Danio rerio: one gene and its partners. The protein of the gene in region 1 purifies or fractionates together with the protein of each later gene. This does not show direct contact. Links are inferred from orthologs where the notes say so. Each region holds a gene or a part of one and is shown on either strand. Other genes may lie near its edges.

Region 1 (6,885 bases):
TGTCATTATGGGTGGCACTGCTGTCGGTGGCGTCATTGGGGTGAGGTGTGGAGTTCCTGCTGTTTTGCTGTGTCTAGGAGCTCTGCTGTGCGCCAATGTGCTGCTCTATTTCTACCTGGATGCCCTGTATCAGAACACAAACCCTCCGTCAGCACACACACAATGTCCTCCTCGCCACTTTAAAGTGGGCACTATGAGCTCCTGCAGCCCTTGGTTAAAGTGTCCAGAAATCCGCTCTGGGGTTCGCCGTGTGAAGCTCATTGGACAAGGAGCTGTGAAGAAGGTGAGTTTGGTGAGATTGGTTCTGCAACAAATGTTTATTTTGATAATCAGTTAAAATCAAATTAGGGATGCAGCTAAACTTACACATTCATATTTATTGAAAGGGGAAGAGAGACTCATTTTTGACTTGACATATTTTATTACAATGTATATTTTAAATGAGATTAGAATGGACGCAGTTCATTCAGTTACTGCCACGGAATAAAAAATTAAGTAAATAATAGGAATGCTCATTTCGGTTAATTTTGCTAACCGACAACCGCCGCTCATTAATCGGTTATTAACGGTTTACTGGTCAGATTACTATTAATTTTATATTAAACAAATTGACGTGTCTATTTTGTGTCCGACACATTAAATATTGCATTTTAAAATACTGATTTATTTTTTTATGCTAGCATATTAATAATAGAACAATACAACAGAGCATTTTCACGCACCTGCAGTGTTTAGCACAGAAGAACATAATAAACTAAATAAAATAAATAGGACTGCCCTAAATTATTTTCCACTTAAATAATTAATTTATATTACAAATCGAAAACACTGACTGATTCTTTTTAATAACCGGCATAGGCTGTTTTTTTCCAATCATATTTTTGTCTTCCGTCAAATAAAATAGCTGACTATGCATTTATGCATTTATTTAATGCCCCGCTGTTATTATTATATCACAAAACATTTTTACATTTTTAATAGAATCATTATTTTAAAGATTATGTCTTGATATAGGCTATGGTTTCCTTTCTCTCCATCGCGGTTCAAGTGTGCACGCTGCGTGGTGAAAAGACAACAACAACATGCGCATATGCTGACTTTTTGTAAACAGTTTTGTTGTTTAAATATGATATTGCATTAATGTGCATACATGCTTTATAAGCTGTAAAATAAAAAGTAAAGCCTATTTGTTGCGTTTATGACGCATATCAAGGTCAACATCAGCGCTTTTTTGGCATCAACACGTCTGTTTCAAACAGCAATATTCTTCTTCCATTTTGCTTCTTTGGCAAATGTGTCTGTAAGCACGGGTTATACGTTATCGTCCCGCAAGTTAAGTATGTCTTGCAGTTGAACAAGTGGCCGACCACAGCTACGTGCTTTTTTCATTCCAAAAACGTGAGGCGCACCTCACTGCCTTTATGTTGACAAGGAAAAAAGAAGAGAAGAAGCGCGGTCCTCTTATGAAACGACTGAATCAGCTGGGTATCGATTGTGCAAAAGTGTTGCTGTCTGTGTTGTTACAATTGTATTATTTAATAATATTGTGATATTCAAGATTTGTACATTCATACAGCTCTGGATAACTTAAAACAGCGATTAGACCATCAGAGCGGTGTTAATGCGTCCTGAAGTAAAGCGAAACGGCTATAAACTCCAGCAAGATAGAGTGATTATATACAGAGCCAAATACCTTTATCTATAAATAAAGTATAACTATAGAAACTGTGTTCATCTTAACTGAAAGCTTCTGCGTGTTTGCTGTCCTCACGCATCATGCACCTGTCAGTCGGTCAGTCAGCACGTAACCCCAAATGGTTAAACAGATAGCGCACAGCACTATACGGTTACAGAAAAGTTTGTGCTGTTATTATCCACTTCTCTTTTAATACGTTTTGATGCGATTATAATCCGCTAATAAAAAACAACAACAACAATAACTGAATGTTTTGAATGGGTAATGTAGCCGTGGCGGGATGCATTTTGGTCCCTGCCATGGAAGAATGAATGTAGCAGAAACCAAGCTCTTTAAAAGTTCTCTGTAGTTGTCTTGACAAAACAAACTGCTGCTCTGGGATGAGCCGCGTGCAAAAGATGCAGCTCTTAACGCAAAGGCGCATTCAATCGGCCCCTTATGCAGCCAAAGTAAAAATATATATTATTAAGTCAGAATTGCGAGTTATAAAGTCAGAATTGCGAGTTATAAAGTCAGAATTGCGTGTAATAAAGTCAGAATTCTGAGTGATAAAGTCAGAACTATTAGTTATTAAGTCAGAATTGCGAGTGATAGTCAGAATTCTTAGTTATAAAGTTAGAATTCTTAGTTACCAAGTCAGAATTGCGAGTCATTAGATCAGCATTTTGAGTTTTTAAGTCAGAATTCAGAGTTAAGTCACAATTGTTAGTTATAAAGTCAGAATTGCGAGTTATTAAGTCAGAATTGCGAGTTACAATGTCAGAATACTTAGTTATTCAGTCCGAATTGCGAGTTATAAAGTCAAAATTATTAGTTATTAATTCAGAATTCTTAGTTTTAAAGTCAGAATTGCAAGTTTTAAATTCAGAATTTTAAGTTATAAAGTCAGAATTGCGAGTTATAATGTCAGAATTCTTAGTTATTAAGTCAGAATTGCGAGTTATAATGTCAGAATTCTTAGTTATTAAGTCAGAATTCTTAGTTTTAAAGTCAGAATTGCGAGTTTTAAATTCAGAATTTTAAGTTATAAAGTCAAAATTGCGAGTTATAATGTCAGAATTCTTAGTTATTAAGTCAGAATTGGGAGTTATAAAGTCAGAATTGCGAGTTATAATGTCAGAATTCTTAGTTATTAAGTCAGAATTGCGAGATATAATGTCAGAATTCTTAGTTTTAAAGTCAGAATTGCGAGTTTTAAATTCAGAATTTTAAGTTATAAAGTCAAAATTGCGAGTTATAATGTCAGAATTCTTAGTTATTAAGTCAGAATTGGGAGTTATAAAGTCAGAATTGCGAGTTATAAAGTCAGAATTGCGAGTTATAATGTCAGAATTCTTAGTTATTAAGTCAGAATTGCGAGATATAATGTCAGAATTCTTAGTTATTAAGTCAGAATTGCGAGTTATAAAGTCAAAATTATTAGTTATTAATTCAGAATTCTTAGTTTTAAAGTCAGAATTGCGAGTTTTAAATTCAGAATTTTAAGTTATAAAGTCAGAATTGCGAGTTATAATGTCAGAATTCTTAGTTATTTAGTCAGAATTGGGAGTTATAAAGTTAGAATTATTAGTTATTAATTCAGAATTCTTAGTTTAAAAATGACAGAATTCTTAGTTATTAAATCAGAATTCTTAGTTATAAAGACATAATTGCGAGTTTTAAAGTCAGAATTCTTAGTTTTAAAGTCAGAATTGCAAGTCATAATGTTAGAATTGCGAGTTATAAAGTCAGAATTGCGAGTTAGGTCAGAATTCAAGCTATTGCAAAGACATGTGAATTAACCCTTCAATTTTCGTGACTTAAATTGCGATGAATCAACAATCACAAATCTTGTCAGTCACATTTACCCTTTTTGCCTTTTCTTTCCTAGGTTTATCTGTCAGAGTGGCAAGGACAGAAGGTGGCGCTGTCTGTCCTGTCTTCAGATCAGTATGCAGATGACTTCCTCCATGGACTGTCAATGCTTCGTGCCTTGCAGAGCTCTCACGTGGTGACGCTGGTAGGTGTGTGTGAAGAGGACGCTGTGTTTGTTACTGAATACCACCCTCTTGGTTCAGTGCTGACGCTCGACACCACACTCGCGCAAGAACGCTATCGCTGGCGAAACTCCTGGCACACTCGCCTACAGCTGGCAATAGACTACGTGGCCTTCCTGGCATACTTGCACAGCAGTCCGGCGGGGATCAGAGTAATGTGTGACTCTAACGACCTGCACAAAACCCTCAGCCAGTTTCTTCTCGCTTCTGACATGCGTCTGTTGGCCAATGACCTGGACGCCCTGCCTGAGGTGGAGAAGGGGGGGTTAGGAGTGAAATGTGGGCATCATGAGCTCACTGGGGACTTCGTTGCTCCTGAGCAGTTGTGGCCTTATGGTGAGGATTTTTCCTTCTCAGATGAAGCCATGCCCGGGTACGACGAAAAGACGGACATCTGGAAGATTCCTGACGTGACACGCTTCCTGTTAGGGGACGTCTTGGGAGGTGATGTCATCCACTTCCACTTGTTTCAGATTTACAGCGAGTGCAAGAGGAAGGAGGCTCACATGAGGCCCACGGCCCGCGAGGTCCTGAGTGTGTATCGCTCTGTGTATGACAGTATGATGGAGAGCCAGTCGCAGAGAGTTCGAGATATGCTGTAGTGAGAGGAATCATTAAAAGGCCAGAAGTGAAAATTCTGTAGTCATTTACTTCACACATGCTTGCGTTCTTGTGAAATTTTGAGAAGTCAATGGTCACTCACTGATTATAAAAAAAACACACACACACACACATTTTGAGTCTCTATGCAGTTACATTGACCATAATTTAAGTTATGAAAGCAAACAATATACTTTTTTTTGTTTTATATTAATTATGACGTATTTAAAGGAAGACTCTTTGGCAAATAGGCTCATTTTTCAAGTCACTCAGAGTTAAACTGTTGAGTTTGATCATTTTAATCCGTTCAGCTGATCTCTGGGTCTAACAAATAGTCCAAAATCCTTGATTATTACTCCAGAATGAGAGTATAGTAAAGATTATAGAATACACATGACGTGTCACTCGTATACTTTCGAATGGGAAAAGTGAAACAGTCAATATGGCGAATGAAGCCCCGCCTTCTAGTACAGGAGCCAATCAGTGATTGATATATGGCAAATAAAGCCCACCTTTTAGTACATGAGCCAATCAGCGATCAGTATAGAATGACAATTCTCCAGGGGAGGGGCTTGGACTAGATGTGAGTTTCTGCAAATATTGTGTGATATGGACATTTATAAATGAAACTAAAAGGACAGTTACTGTTTAATTTTATTGGTTATTCATAGTATGTAATGTAATCGTAATCTTGGCTAGCAGTTTTGGAGAATTTGATGTTTACCCATTCAAACAGAATGCCTATGCATACTTCTCTAGAGGCGATTGAAAGATGTCCGCCGAGTGAAATGACCTGCCTTAAAGGGACTTTGAGTATAGTTACTAGCCATGTCAAGCTGGTCTTGGTGCATACTTTAACTACACAAGAGTCAAGTTTTACTTGGAAAAACTCTTTGGAATTGTTTGAGCGAGATGCTAATGGTCTAATCTGATTCAAGGATCTATGCTAAGCTAAGCTAAAAGTTCTTCTGTCAGACCCGGAGTTTGTCTAGAATAGATTTAAAGAGCCTCTATTATACATTAAAAAGGAGGGGGGGTCTCCAACAACAGGCTGATGTGCATTCAAGGTCAAATAACACTTTCATTGTCTTAGAATACGCATTTATTATTACCTAATTATCCCAGCGACTCACATTTCGCAATTAATTTGTACCTAAACCCCTCCCTAACGTGATGCTAATCTGCACTGATTGGTCCTATGGTACTCTGTTGTGATTGGTTGACAGTGTTTAGCGCAAGACAGAGAGAAATGCCCACCATGGCTTATCAACAATATTGAAGTAGTCAGAGTGCAGAGTGTATGTGTGAGTATACCTGCCAACACTCACGTTTTTCTCAGTAGTCTCCCGTAATTTCAGACCCATCTCCCGCCACCCTCCCATTTTGTTATTTATCCCGGAAAACTCATGATGGCCATAGCAACGACATGCACCAGTGGATTGCAGTGAATCGCATTTACTTACACTTGTGAAATGGAGGAAGAAACTGGTCCATGAACTGTGTACTATAAAGTTCCTGTTAAGCTCTGACAAAGTCCCACACATCAATAGTCTTTTCTGATCCTTCTTTTAACAACCAGCCAATGAATCCGCTGTTGTAAGCGTGTAGATTGCTGAAGCACTTGTCAGAAAAATGACAAGAATACAGCACAAGCCTGGGCTGTAATGCTGAGGTATTATTGCAAAAATAAACCTCAACCACTGACTCTTCACTGTTTCATCTTTGAGTAGAGAAAATAACACTAACTTTCCCCTCACACTTCAGAGCACAGCGTCTTCGTGACATGATTCAACTGGCGTCTGCTACAGTGTCCTTTTTTTTTTGGCTACTGTGTTTGTGGGCGGGGCCGGGGTTTTAAAATTTTCCCGGCATTGCACGTGCAACAAATGGGTGGGGCTCAAGTTCCATATTCTTGTCACGCCAGCACAGCTAAAGACTCGTTATCAAGACGATTAATTTGAAGCACTGCGAGTTGACTCTTTTATAAATGAATCAACAGTTTTAAACACTGCACACTTGCAGATTTAAGTCTTACCTGGATAATTCACTTCACTTAGAGCTGTGTTACACAATACATGGAAGGTCATTCTCAAAAACCCATAATAGAGGCTCTTTAAAAAAAAAAAAAAGGAAAAGTCTGTCATCATTTCTGATTTTACTCTGTTGAACATAAAAAAAGATATTTTTAATAATGCTGAAAACCTTAATCATTGATGGTCAGTAGTTTTTTTCCTGCTATGGAAGTCAATAGCTAGAGGTTTTCAGCATTATTGAAAATGTCTGCTTTTGTGTTTAACAGAAGAAAGAAACTCATAACGATTTCAAATATGCAGAGGGTGAGTAAATGATGGAATCATTTTTATTTTTACTATTAATTTCACTGTTAATTTAAGTGATTGAGGTTAATTTCAAAGCCTCACAAAAATACTTTATAATCTGATATAAAACTATATTTTTTTTCATTTATTAAAATAATTTCGAATTTTTAAAAAGCTTTTTCAGTTTCAGTTTTCAGCCAAATGCATCTAGAATTTTCCATTTCAGCCCACAAGT
Region 2 (5,709 bases), on another chromosome or scaffold:
ACACACACACACACACACACACACACACACACACACACACGGGTTGCCAGATTGACAGAAGTGAGCTTGACTATGGAGCCTAAGGCTGATTTATACAGTGTTGTCAATAAAACCAACGAGACTCAATAGAAGGAACGTGTCCCACATTAAAATGAGTTTCAATCCAAAGCAACAGCTCAAATGAATATCTATTAAACATGTACAGTTCCTCACAGCAGAACACTGATCAGCTCAGCTCATGTGCTGTGTTCAGTGTTGACCGCTGATAATGTGAGTCTGACATGTATCAGCACACTACTGACAGCAGAGTTCAGCTCAGATCTGGAGAACACACAGTACAGCTGACTGACTGAATAATTAAACCAAGGCAACCCGGGCGCTGAAATATAATTGGCTACACTGGCAGTGGGCGGGTTAAAGAGACCAAAACACAGACAGACGCTCAGTAACACACATATGAATATGTGACTGTGTTTCAGATAAAGGTGAATGTTCACTGAGCATGTTTCTGAATATCTGCACACACATGATGCTGGTGTCATGCTTCAGTAGACACACACACTCACACACAGCAGCTTTAATCCTCAACTGTACTAATCAGAGCTCAACAGTACTGTACATGATCACGCACGCACACACACGCACGCACACACACACACACACACACACACACGGAGGAAAAGTTCACTTAGTTTATTTAAAAAAACAAAAACAAGATCATCTGAATCATTACAACAGCTTATAGACCAGAGGAGGAGCGACGAGGAGCTGTACACACACACACACACACACACACACACACACACACACTAACAACAACTGGACATCATGGAGAAGCAGACTGATGAGGAGCAGACGATGATTAACACACACGCACGCACACACACACACACACACACACACACACACAGTGAGGATGCACCGCTCCTGTAAAGTGCAGAAGATGAGTCGCTGGTGTGAGCAGAACCACAGGAACACAGAGCATGGCATTACCCAGAAGCCCTTGCAGAGCAGGCCAGTAAAGAGCGGGAGATTTGGAGAAGCAGTTACTGACACACACACACACACACGCACACACAAGTTTAGTGATAAAGTGAAGGCACAGACATGCGTAACCAAACACCCAGAGCAAGACTGGTGCATGCTGGGTAATGTGGGGGAGGGGGGGGGGGGTCTGTGCTGGTGAGTTTCCCTTTATGAACACTCAGAGGATCCAGAAGTGCTACAAACACACACACACACACACACACACACACACACACACACACACACACACACACACACACACACACACACACACACACACACCAATGCATTATGGGAAATCTAAAGCTTAGACCGGAGCTCTCTCTCACACATACACACACACACACACACACACACACACACACACACACACACACACACACACACACACACGTGCGCGGCTGCTCGTCCTCTGATAGCTTATAAATACAGGATATGTACAGTGTGCGGTATAAAAATAGCAGAGCTCTTCTGGCACTCATGTAGAAAAGTGGAAAACGGCGGCAAGAGTGTGTGTGTGTGTGTGTGTGTGTGTGTGTGTGTGTGTGTGTGTGTGTGTGTGTGTGTGTGTGTGTGTGTGTGTGTGTAACCGCTCAGGCACGAGTCGCCGCCGTGATTGTGTGTTACGCCAGCAGGTGGGCGGGAGGTGTGTGCTGATTGGCTCCTCCTCGTCTCTCATATAAAACAGTATAAAAATAAGCGCGCCGCCGCGTCACAGTGTAGAGCCTGCAGGGGGCGCCGCCGCGCGGCTCAGGAACTATTTGGCATGGACACCACACGCGTGTGAGTCAGATTAAGGCAGCGTGTGCGTGTGTGTGTGTGTGTGTGGGTCTGATAAATCTCTCTTCATCAGTGTCCACGTGTGGGTAACCGCGGCAACACTGTATAGAAATATATAAATATGCTCTTCTCTTACTGTACAGCGCCGCCAGAGCCCTCAGCTGTCCTTCAGCGAGACACAGTCACTTATATATATGTACAGAGGCAGTGGGGGCGGGGCCTGGCGCGCAGGGGGCGGGGCTCAGGAGGAGTCTGTGCAGGGCGAGGGCGGCGGCGGGTACAGCTGGTGCGAGTAGCTGCGCTCGGTGTACGGTGACGGCGGGCAGCTCTCGCAGTTCTCCTCCGCCGACAGGTACTGGCTGCGCGGCGTGGGCGGCGGCGGCAGCGGCTCCGAGTCGTAGTTCAGGTCGCTAGCGTAGCCTTTAGCAGCAGTGGCGCTGGATGCGTGCGGAGCCCGGCGGCCCGGCGTATAGTCACTGTCGCACACATCCGTGCTGCACGGCGTCGTCGGAGGAGCGAAGTGGCGGTAACTGTACGGCCGATAGCTGCACAACACACACATTAGCATGTTAGCATACAGAGGTTTAGCATTAAACGCGTGATGGGCAGAGGACATGTTACCTGTAGGAGCGGTGTGTTGACGGGCTGTTGGAGGAGTAGCCGAACTCCATGGTGTACTGAGACCTGACGGTGGCTGGAGATGGAGGAGGGTTCAGGATCTGCAGAACAGCAGAGACATTACACATACATCATCAACTCACTGTGTGTTATAGAGAGAGCCTCACACAGCTGAGTGGAGCTGACAAACCACCTGCAGGAACACTTCTCCATAACACCGCCTTCCCTATCCCTGAACACTAGAGGCCCGCTTCACTGAGTGCTGCAGGTCCGGTCAGATCAGGTCAGGACACTCTCATGGCCATTCCCACTGTCAGACGGTGCCTAACATTGAGTTCACACTGCAGGATTTAAACCCGATTGAGCCTGATTTGGAAGTTACCTTGCTCTCCGACAGATCGGCTGTGATTGGGGAAAATCTACAGGTGCTCAGCGCTCGGCAGTGTTTATGTGTGAACTACTGAACAATGCATCTAAGAGGCTCGCTGAAGCGTCACCGACACCTCACAGATGTAAATTTAATAATCTAGCATGCTGAATATTCCAGAACAGTCGGCCGACTCCACCCCACGCATGGTCAGATGTAGTGACGAGCCGCAGCCAATGAGAGAGCAGATCAGCATGTGCTGACTGGCCATGGTGCTCAGGAGCTCAACAGAAACGTCTGTGATTGGCCAGAACGGGCATCGATGCGCTCGCTTCATTCTGCATTAACAGACACGAGAGTGGGCTATATTAACAGCAGAACTATTAGATTACCACACTGCTCATCCTGACCGTTCCCACATGAGACGTCATATTTACATTTAAAGCTTCTATTGAGGTATTAAAGTAAGCTGTCTTGAATGTCTGTCATCATATTTCATGACAGCATTACACTGAAAGTATGATCTGTTCTGGTAATGCAGACTATTAATATGAAGAGATTGAGGTGAACACAGAACACCAGTGTCCATCTGCAGCTCCTTCACCAGACTCCACACTCATACACACTCGTACACACTCGTACACACTCGTACACACTCGTACACACTCGTACACACTCGTACACACTCGTACACACTCGTACACACTCGTACACACCAGGGCTCGAAATTGCGACCATTTTGGTCACATATGCACCCGAAAATTAATCTATGCGACCTCATAATATATATGGAGCATTAGTGCGACTGCAGATAATAGTTGTAGTGCGACCTGTTTTGATTTTTTGTAAAAACGTGCTGAATCGCTCTTCTCTGCCGCTATATTGGTTCATATTAGCTGTCAATCACTCAAGGTATTCCGCTGTCAGATGACAGGGAAGGAGCTTTTATGACCACGGGAAATGCAAATGGCTGAATATTGAAAACTTAAAGCGCACAGGTTTGCAAACCCCACCTAAAGTTGAGGCGCAGATGAGAGCGATCATGACACGTCACGTGGTGAATATTGATCCGCCAGCTGAGATCAATCGAGTATGCGCTTCTTGGAGAAGGTGCCCGAATCTCGATGCGTTCCGTTCACTGCGTGTTCAGCGCAAATGTCCGCTAAAAGTCAAATCTAATACTGTACATATCATCGCCAAAGAAGCTCGCCTTTACTAAGTTTACACTGAAACTGCGGCTCATAACAAAGACCGGTATTGCGCCGAAGGTTAGCGCAAGAATCCTGCTCTGCCTGCTCATAAATTGGGTCGGCTGACTCGCCTGCTTTTCCACTAACACAGAAAAATGAAGATCAGCTCAGACTGAACCTTTAAATTGACACAAACTGAAACCAAAACTTTTAAAGAGTGATAGAAGTGAGACTTTACTTACTTTCTTTTGTCTATTCTTGTTTGAGGTGTATATTATTTTTTTATTTATTTACTGATGACTGCTTTGCAGCTTTCATCATTGAATTGAATGATTTATTATAATCTTTTGTTTGTTTTGTAGCAGAAATATTATTTATTAAATTGACATGCATATAAAAACAGCAGCACAAAATAAATATTTCTTACTGCAATGCTTCATTTTGGTTTGATGCAAACTATACAATTATTTTTCATAAAGTAACAGACTTTTTATAGCAGATAACCTACATTCATGCACATTCAAGGCAGCATCATAATGAGAAATGTTATTCATTGTTACTATTATTGTCATTTTCATCATCATTAATATTCTATGGCCTAATTATTAGACATTCATTTTGGAATTATTGCACACAAATATCAAAGTCTTCGCAGCATTAGTTAGATAGCTGTTTCTGGTTTTTGTCAGTCCTATTGATGTTGTTTTAAAATACAATAAATCCCTTAAAAAACAATTTGCAGCGGTGCTCATTCATTTTTGGTGGTGCTCCTAAATTTTTTCTGGTGCTCCTAAATATTTGAAGTTGGGAGCACCGGTGCTACCAAGTAAAAAAGTCAATTTCGAGCCCTGCACACTCATACACACTCATACACACTCATACACACTCGTACACACTCATACACACTCACGCCATCAGGCCCACTCTCCTCACAGACACACAGCTTGTGATGTCGTTGCGATATGTACTTATATTTCTGAGCATCATCAGCCACGGCGAGGGCTGTGTGAGCATGCGCAGGCTGCATCGGAGCACACACACACACACACACACACACACACACACACACACGGGCACTTGAGGCAAATCAGCCTTAATGTGGAAGGGGGACATCACGGGCACAGTAACAGCTCTGGCAGAAGTACTGAAACAGCTGTGTGTGTGTGTGTGTGTGTGTGTGTGTGTGTGTGTGTGTGTGTGTGTGTGTGTACCGGAGGGAAATATGCTCCTTTAGTGCTGGACGAGCTGCTGGACGAGGCTCCGGTCACATGAGCGCGGTCGTACGGTGGTCCACTGCTGCCTCCCATGATGCTCAGCGAGCCCATGACTGACTTCCCTCTGGACATGCCTGAACACACACACACACACACACACACACAAACACACACACACTTTAATTATTCATGTTTATTGTTCATGAACACACACAAATAACAATAAAACACTCAGAAATAATCATATTAATCTCACACACACACACACACACACACACACACACTAGTATCTCACACACACACACACACTAGTATCTCACACACACACAAGCATCTTACACACACACACACACACAAGCATCTCACACACACACTAGTATCTCACACACACACTAGTATCTCACACACACACACACACGCTTCTCGTCAGTGTGAGTGTTGTTGGAGCTCCACCTGGCAGTGATCCGCTCAGGGATGCGGGGTGTGGGACGTATCCCAGCGGCACCGGCGGCGG
Region 3 (5,678 bases), on another chromosome or scaffold:
CAAACTGAAATAAGTTTGATCTAAAATAATTAATAGAAAGTTAATTTTCATGCCTATGTCTGGGAAAAGAAAATATCAAATCAGGATTTGTTCTTTCTGTCATTTCAAGTCTGAGCCGCAAGTCCAGTATATCTCTCAGTTTGAGTTCCAGAGAGACGAGACAGAGGAGCCACAGAACACTTGTAAGCACTTGCATCACACATGTTTTCAGTCTTTAACATTAATGATTGCCATTAGGGATGTCAAGATCTGATCACGTGATCGGAAATCGGGCCCAATCACGCGGTTTTAGATTTGATCGGAATCGGACGTTACCTCAAAATTAGGACTCAAATAAATATAGAATTATATTTAGAGTTGAAGTCAGAGCAGGGAAATGTTCACAGTATGTCTGATAATATTTTGTTCATCTGGAGAAAGTCTTATTTGTTTTATTTCGACTAGAATAAAACAGTTTTTAATTTTTATTATAACACCATTTTAGGGGCAAAATTATTAGCCTCCTTTAGCTATATATTTTTTTGATTGTCTAAAGAACAAACCATCGTTATACAATAACTTGCCTAATTACCCTAACCTGCCTAGTTGACCTAATTAACCTCGTTAAGCCTTTAAATGTCACTTTAAGCTGTTTTGAAGTGTCTTGAAAAACATCTAGTAAAATATTATGTATTATCATCATGGCAAAGATAAAATAAATCAGTTATTAGAGATGAGTTATTAAAACTATTATGTTTAGAAATGTGTTGATAAAATCTTCTCTCCGTTAAACAGAAATTGGGGGGGAAAAAATAAACAGGGTTAATAATTCAGGGGAGCTAATAATTCTGACTTCAACTGTATGTATATGTATGTCATTATTTTTTTAATACATCTATAGTTATGCTGTGGCACAGAGTTAGACCTCTTTCGTAACTTCACCCTGAAGCAGCAACGCGTGGGGCGTGACATCATTTTGTTGCAGAGACGCTATTGGTTAAATGCCGGCAGCAAAGTAGAACACGGAAGCAGCTTGAAGTGGAAAGTGCGAGTATGTCTGCGTTCTGGAGGTATTATAAAGTTGATGATGACAACATGGCCATTGCAAACTGTAAAATCTGTAAACTTGGGATTGCCTGCAGCTTGCCGGGTATTTTAAGTTGAGGTGCTATTTGTGCTTATATTAGATTTTTTTATTATATATTTACTGCTGCACTAAAATATAGAAGTGAAGAATTGTTCAAGCTACCTCACAGAAGTGCTGTTTGTTAACAGAGTTGTTGAAGGTTTAAAATAAGATGAATTAAATAAAAAAAATAAGAAGCGTCCTGGAAATTTTTCTTTGCTATTCTTTTATTAACGTATCATAGAAGTATCGGATCGGGTTTTGGTAACTGTAGATTCTCAAAATCTAAGATTTGTTCTGAAATGCACAAATGTTCTGCTTCGGCTTTTATTCTAATGATTCTTTTTGATAAAACAGAAAGAAACAGACAGTACTGGTACTCTATAAAAATAACTTATTTTAAAAATTATAACAACTTGCGACTGCACTAATATTCCGGCTTGTGTAAAAATGACATTATCCAGAGATAATTTTGCTTTGAGAACTGGATTTATAGAGTAATTTAGCTTGGGCTTCCTCACACAGTGAATGTTTTAGTACTTTGTTTTTCACTAAATAAAAGACGCTTTATATGTCAGTTTGCATATCGTTAAAACATCCATTACAAAAGGATCATAGACGATACATATTTGCACACCCCTAAACGTGATGTTATTAAATATGTAAATGAATAACTGGAGCACTAAAACCTGTCACCTTTTGTCTACACATTCTTAGCATCATTCTCCAAAGAAGTGTTTCAGGATCACAAAACTGACCCGCTGTGTTTTTAACAGTTATAGATGAGGGAGCGAAAAACCCCATTTATAAAGACTACCCTCGGAGCTTCATTCAGGAGAGAGACAGAGACATGTTCATGGACAGAAGTGGCTCTGAGGACGACTGCAATCTCTTCGGCTGTCTCTCAAGGTTGGCCTCTTCTTCTCCATTTGGATTTTCTGAACTCTTATTAATGATTGCAGTCTGTTGTTCTTGTTGAAGCTAAACCCTCTTGATCTTGTGTGCAGCAGAAACCCGTGGCTGCCCGGCTGGATCTTGACCACCACTCTGATTCTGTCTGTGCTGGTTCTGATCTGGATCTGTTGTGCCACAGTGTCCACTGCTGCAGAGCAATACGTCCCTGCTGAGGTAAAATGCTTTTGATTGGATTCAAATGGACTCTGGTGCAATTTCTCTGTTTGTATCTAAACTAGGAACGAAACAAGGGAAACTTTGATGATTGATTAATTGATAATACAACATCTAATGGATGGTTGGTTAAGCATAATATGTCAATAATGTAAATAATTCAGAGGAGTTTGTGGCTTAGTCAACTCAAAAATATTTCTGACACCAGCTCTCATTTTTTATGTTTTTACTAGTCGGTGCAGGGCCCTACAGTTGATTCATGTAAGCGAGGATAGAATTCATAGAGTGGAATAAATAGCAACAGGAAGTGAAGAGAAATGAGAAAAGCGAGTCTGAGAAAATGTTGAAGTTCGGGTTTGCATGAATCTAGTTGACAGCAAAGACTGCAGGCTGTCTTTGAGGAACAACAAAGTATTGGTAGTTGTCTGAATTACTCTTGGCTGATTGCAATGCATTACATTTCGATCAAAGTTATCTGACATTATCTGGATGAATTTGTTCAGACAAAGTTTTAGGTTCTTGTCAGATTTTATTTCAGTTTTCCATACTGATGATGTGAAAAAAGTTGTCTAAGGCCCCGTTTACACTAATGCGTTTTAGTTTGAAAACGCATAAGTTTTGCTACGGTTACGCCAACCGTCCACACTACGCCGGAGTTCTCGAGCGCCGAAAACGGAGCGTTTCGAAAACGCTGGAGAGGCCGTTTTCATTCTGAAACGCTGCTGCTCCGTCTCAGTGTGGATAATGGAAAACGGAGACATCTGAAAACGGAGACGGGGCTGCTGACATTCGCCTCTCTGATTGGGGCTTTTCCTGAATATTAAGTAGCCTAACACACACAGTTCAGTCCTGCATTTTCTCCTTGTAAGTTCAGACTTCGCAAGTTTGATCAAGGCTGCAGTCTCTTCTTCTCAGTTTGATATGGAAAACAGACTATACCGAGGACACGGGTAAATCTTCAAAGGGAACAGTGTACTTTATAACTTCATTCACATCACCCTGGCTACGTTGTTTCACTTTCTCAACAATAAATTGTATACATGATTTAAGGAACTGCCTATTTTTATTTTAATATTAACAACTTAACAGACTGCAGAAATGTTGAGGCGCCGTGCTGTATATATGAGCGTCATCTTCACTGTGTGGATATTTATAACAAAACGGAGCCGATAACAACTGCCTCCTTTCAATTTCAGTGAAAATACGAAACACACCCTCTCTTTTGCTAAATATCAGTTTTAATAATCGATAATGGCCATTATAAAAGTATAACATACAATAAGTTTATACATTATAGGAAATAAAGGCAAGCGATCAGTCAATTTACAGAATAGGCTACGTTGTTTCATCAATCATTAACTTATCTTTGCGCTCAGCCAAAACACGTTACCTGAGAAAAAGTAAGATTCTAATGACCAAAGTCAGGGAATATGTCGTTAGATAAAGACAACAAGATGAATGAAATATCTCGTTTAATAAATATAGTGAGATATTAGATCCAGCGGTAGATGCTTGATGAGAAGTCCGACTAGCAGAGCTCTCATCTGGGTAGATGAGCTGCAGCGCTTGCCAGAGAGTGTCTGTGTGGTCACGTGATGTGCGTTTTCAGGACGGAGAGCAGTTCAGAAACGCTGGGTAAAACGCGATTGTGGACGCGGATCGTTTTCATTCTAAAACGCTGTTTTAAAACTAAAACGCACTAGTGTAAACGGCGCCTAAATTCTTCTGGTTTGTCTATTTGTGCAAAACATTTACAGCAGATTCGAGGGTAAAATGAAGCTTAAGCACATACGAGTTTATTTGAAACTCTGATTCTATGTTTGGAATAACAGAATGGGCATTACGTTACTGTCCAGGGTTGCTGTGTTATATTGCATTGCATAGTGTTGCATTATATTGTTGCGTTACATTACATTGTTGAATTGTGTAGCATTACATTGTTACGTTGCAATACATTGTGTTCAATTGCATTATATTCTTTTGTTTTGTTTCCTTGTTACGTTACCTTGCTAGGTTATCGTATGTTACAACTCTTCCTTATGTTACATTTTCTAATGTTATGTTTCCTTATGTTACGTTTCCTTATTAAGTTACCTTATGTTTTATTACTTTGTCAGATTTACCTTATGTTACGTTTCCTTGTTACAATGTTTCCTTATGTTATGTTACCGTGTTACAATGTTTTCTTGTTACGTTACCGTATGTTACGTTATCATATGTTACAACTTTTCCTTATGTTACATTTTCTTGTTACGTTACCTTATGTTATGTTACCTTGTTGCAACGTTTCCTTATGTTGTTACCATGTTACAATGTTTCCTTGTTACGTTACTGTATGTTAGGTTAAGATGTTACAACTTTTCCTTGTTACGTTACCTTGTTACGTTTTCTAATGTTACGTAACTTTGATATGTTTCCTTTTGTTACGTTTCCTTGTTACACTACCTTATGTTACGTTATCATGTTACAACTTTTCCTTGTTATGTTTCCTTGTTACGTTTCCTTGATACAATGTTTCCTTGTTAAGTTCCCTTGTTGCAACGTGTCCTTATGTTATGTTACCTTGTTCCAATATGTCCTTGTTACGTTACCGTATGTTACGTTATCGTATGTTACAACTTTTCTTTGTTACGTTTCCTTGTAATGTTTCCTTGTTACGTTTTCTTATGTTACCTTGTTACATTTTTTAATGCTACGTAACTTTGTTACATTTCCTTGTAATGTTTCTTTGTTACAATACCTTTATTATGTTATTACATTACGTTATTGTGTTACAACTTTTCCTTATGTTATGTTTCCTTGTTACATTATTGTTTGTTACAACTTTTCCTCATGTTACATTTCCTTGTTACGTTTCCTTATGTAACGCTTGCTTATGTTGTTTCCATATGTTACGTTACCATATGCTACATTACACTTTGTTTCGTTTTTTAATGTTGTTACGTTGTTACGTTTCCTTGTTATGTTACCTTATGTTGTATTACCTTGTTACATTTCCTTATGTTACGTTATCGTAGGTTACAACTTTTCCTCGCTAATTTTCCTTATGTTTTCAATGTTACATTACTTATATTTCTTTGTTACAATTCCTTACGTTACGTTACCTAATGTTGCGTTTCCTTGTTACATTACCTTATGTTACGTTACCCTGTTAGCCTAGGTTACGTTTCCTTATGCTACGTTACCTTATGTTACATTTTCTTGAGTTACTACATTTCCTTTTTACAGTTTTACCTTATGTTACTAGGTTAGCTTATGTTAGGTTGTTACATTGCATTGTTGAATTGCTCTGTTTTTGTTACGTAATGTTGTTACATTGAGCTATGTTGTGTTGCATTGAATCCATTGTGGAACACATTATCAGATTGCGATATATCTGAAATGGCTTAGCATGTCATTTTACTTAACGAACACTTAGCTCATGAACATTAAATACTTAAATACT

The links.
Region 2: the proteins of pomk (region 1) and lrp6 purify together in Homo sapiens (affinity purification with mass spectrometry; 3 studies listed by BioGRID and IntAct, counting the BioPlex papers as one, with this or other methods). This does not show direct contact. The link is inferred for Danio rerio from reciprocal best matches to the Homo sapiens genes POMK and LRP6.
Region 3: the proteins of pomk (region 1) and tmem59 purify together in Homo sapiens (affinity purification with mass spectrometry; 3 studies listed by BioGRID and IntAct, with this or other methods). This does not show direct contact. The link is inferred for Danio rerio from reciprocal best matches to the Homo sapiens genes POMK and TMEM59.

The regions. Positions count from the first base shown.
Region 1 is NC_133188.1:9,976,881-9,983,765, forward strand, and holds the end of pomk (protein O-mannose kinase), read left to right. Parts: 5' UTR 1-7; coding exon 8-283; intron 284-3,566; coding exon 3,567-4,334; 3' UTR 4,335-4,720; downstream 4,721-6,885. UniProt on the Homo sapiens protein: Protein O-mannose kinase that specifically mediates phosphorylation at the 6-position of an O-mannose of the trisaccharide (N-acetylgalactosamine (GalNAc)-beta-1,3-N-acetylglucosamine (GlcNAc)-beta-1,4-mannose) to generate phosphorylated O-mannosyl trisaccharide (N-acetylgalactosamine-beta-1,3-N-acetylglucosamine-beta-1,4-(phosphate-6-)mannose).
Region 2 is NC_133179.1:172,918-178,626, reverse strand, and holds the end of lrp6 (low-density lipoprotein receptor-related protein 6 precursor), read right to left. Parts: coding exon 5,649-5,709; intron 5,330-5,648; coding exon 5,193-5,329; intron 2,526-5,192; coding exon 2,428-2,525; intron 2,352-2,427; coding exon 2,048-2,351; downstream 1-2,047. UniProt on the Homo sapiens protein: Component of the Wnt-Fzd-LRP5-LRP6 complex that triggers beta-catenin signaling through inducing aggregation of receptor-ligand complexes into ribosome-sized signalosomes.
Region 3 is NC_133177.1:29,952,386-29,958,063, reverse strand, and holds part of tmem59 (transmembrane protein 59 precursor), read left to right. Parts: intron 1-109; coding exon 110-182; intron 183-1,881; coding exon 1,882-2,014; intron 2,015-2,112; coding exon 2,113-2,233; intron 2,234-5,678.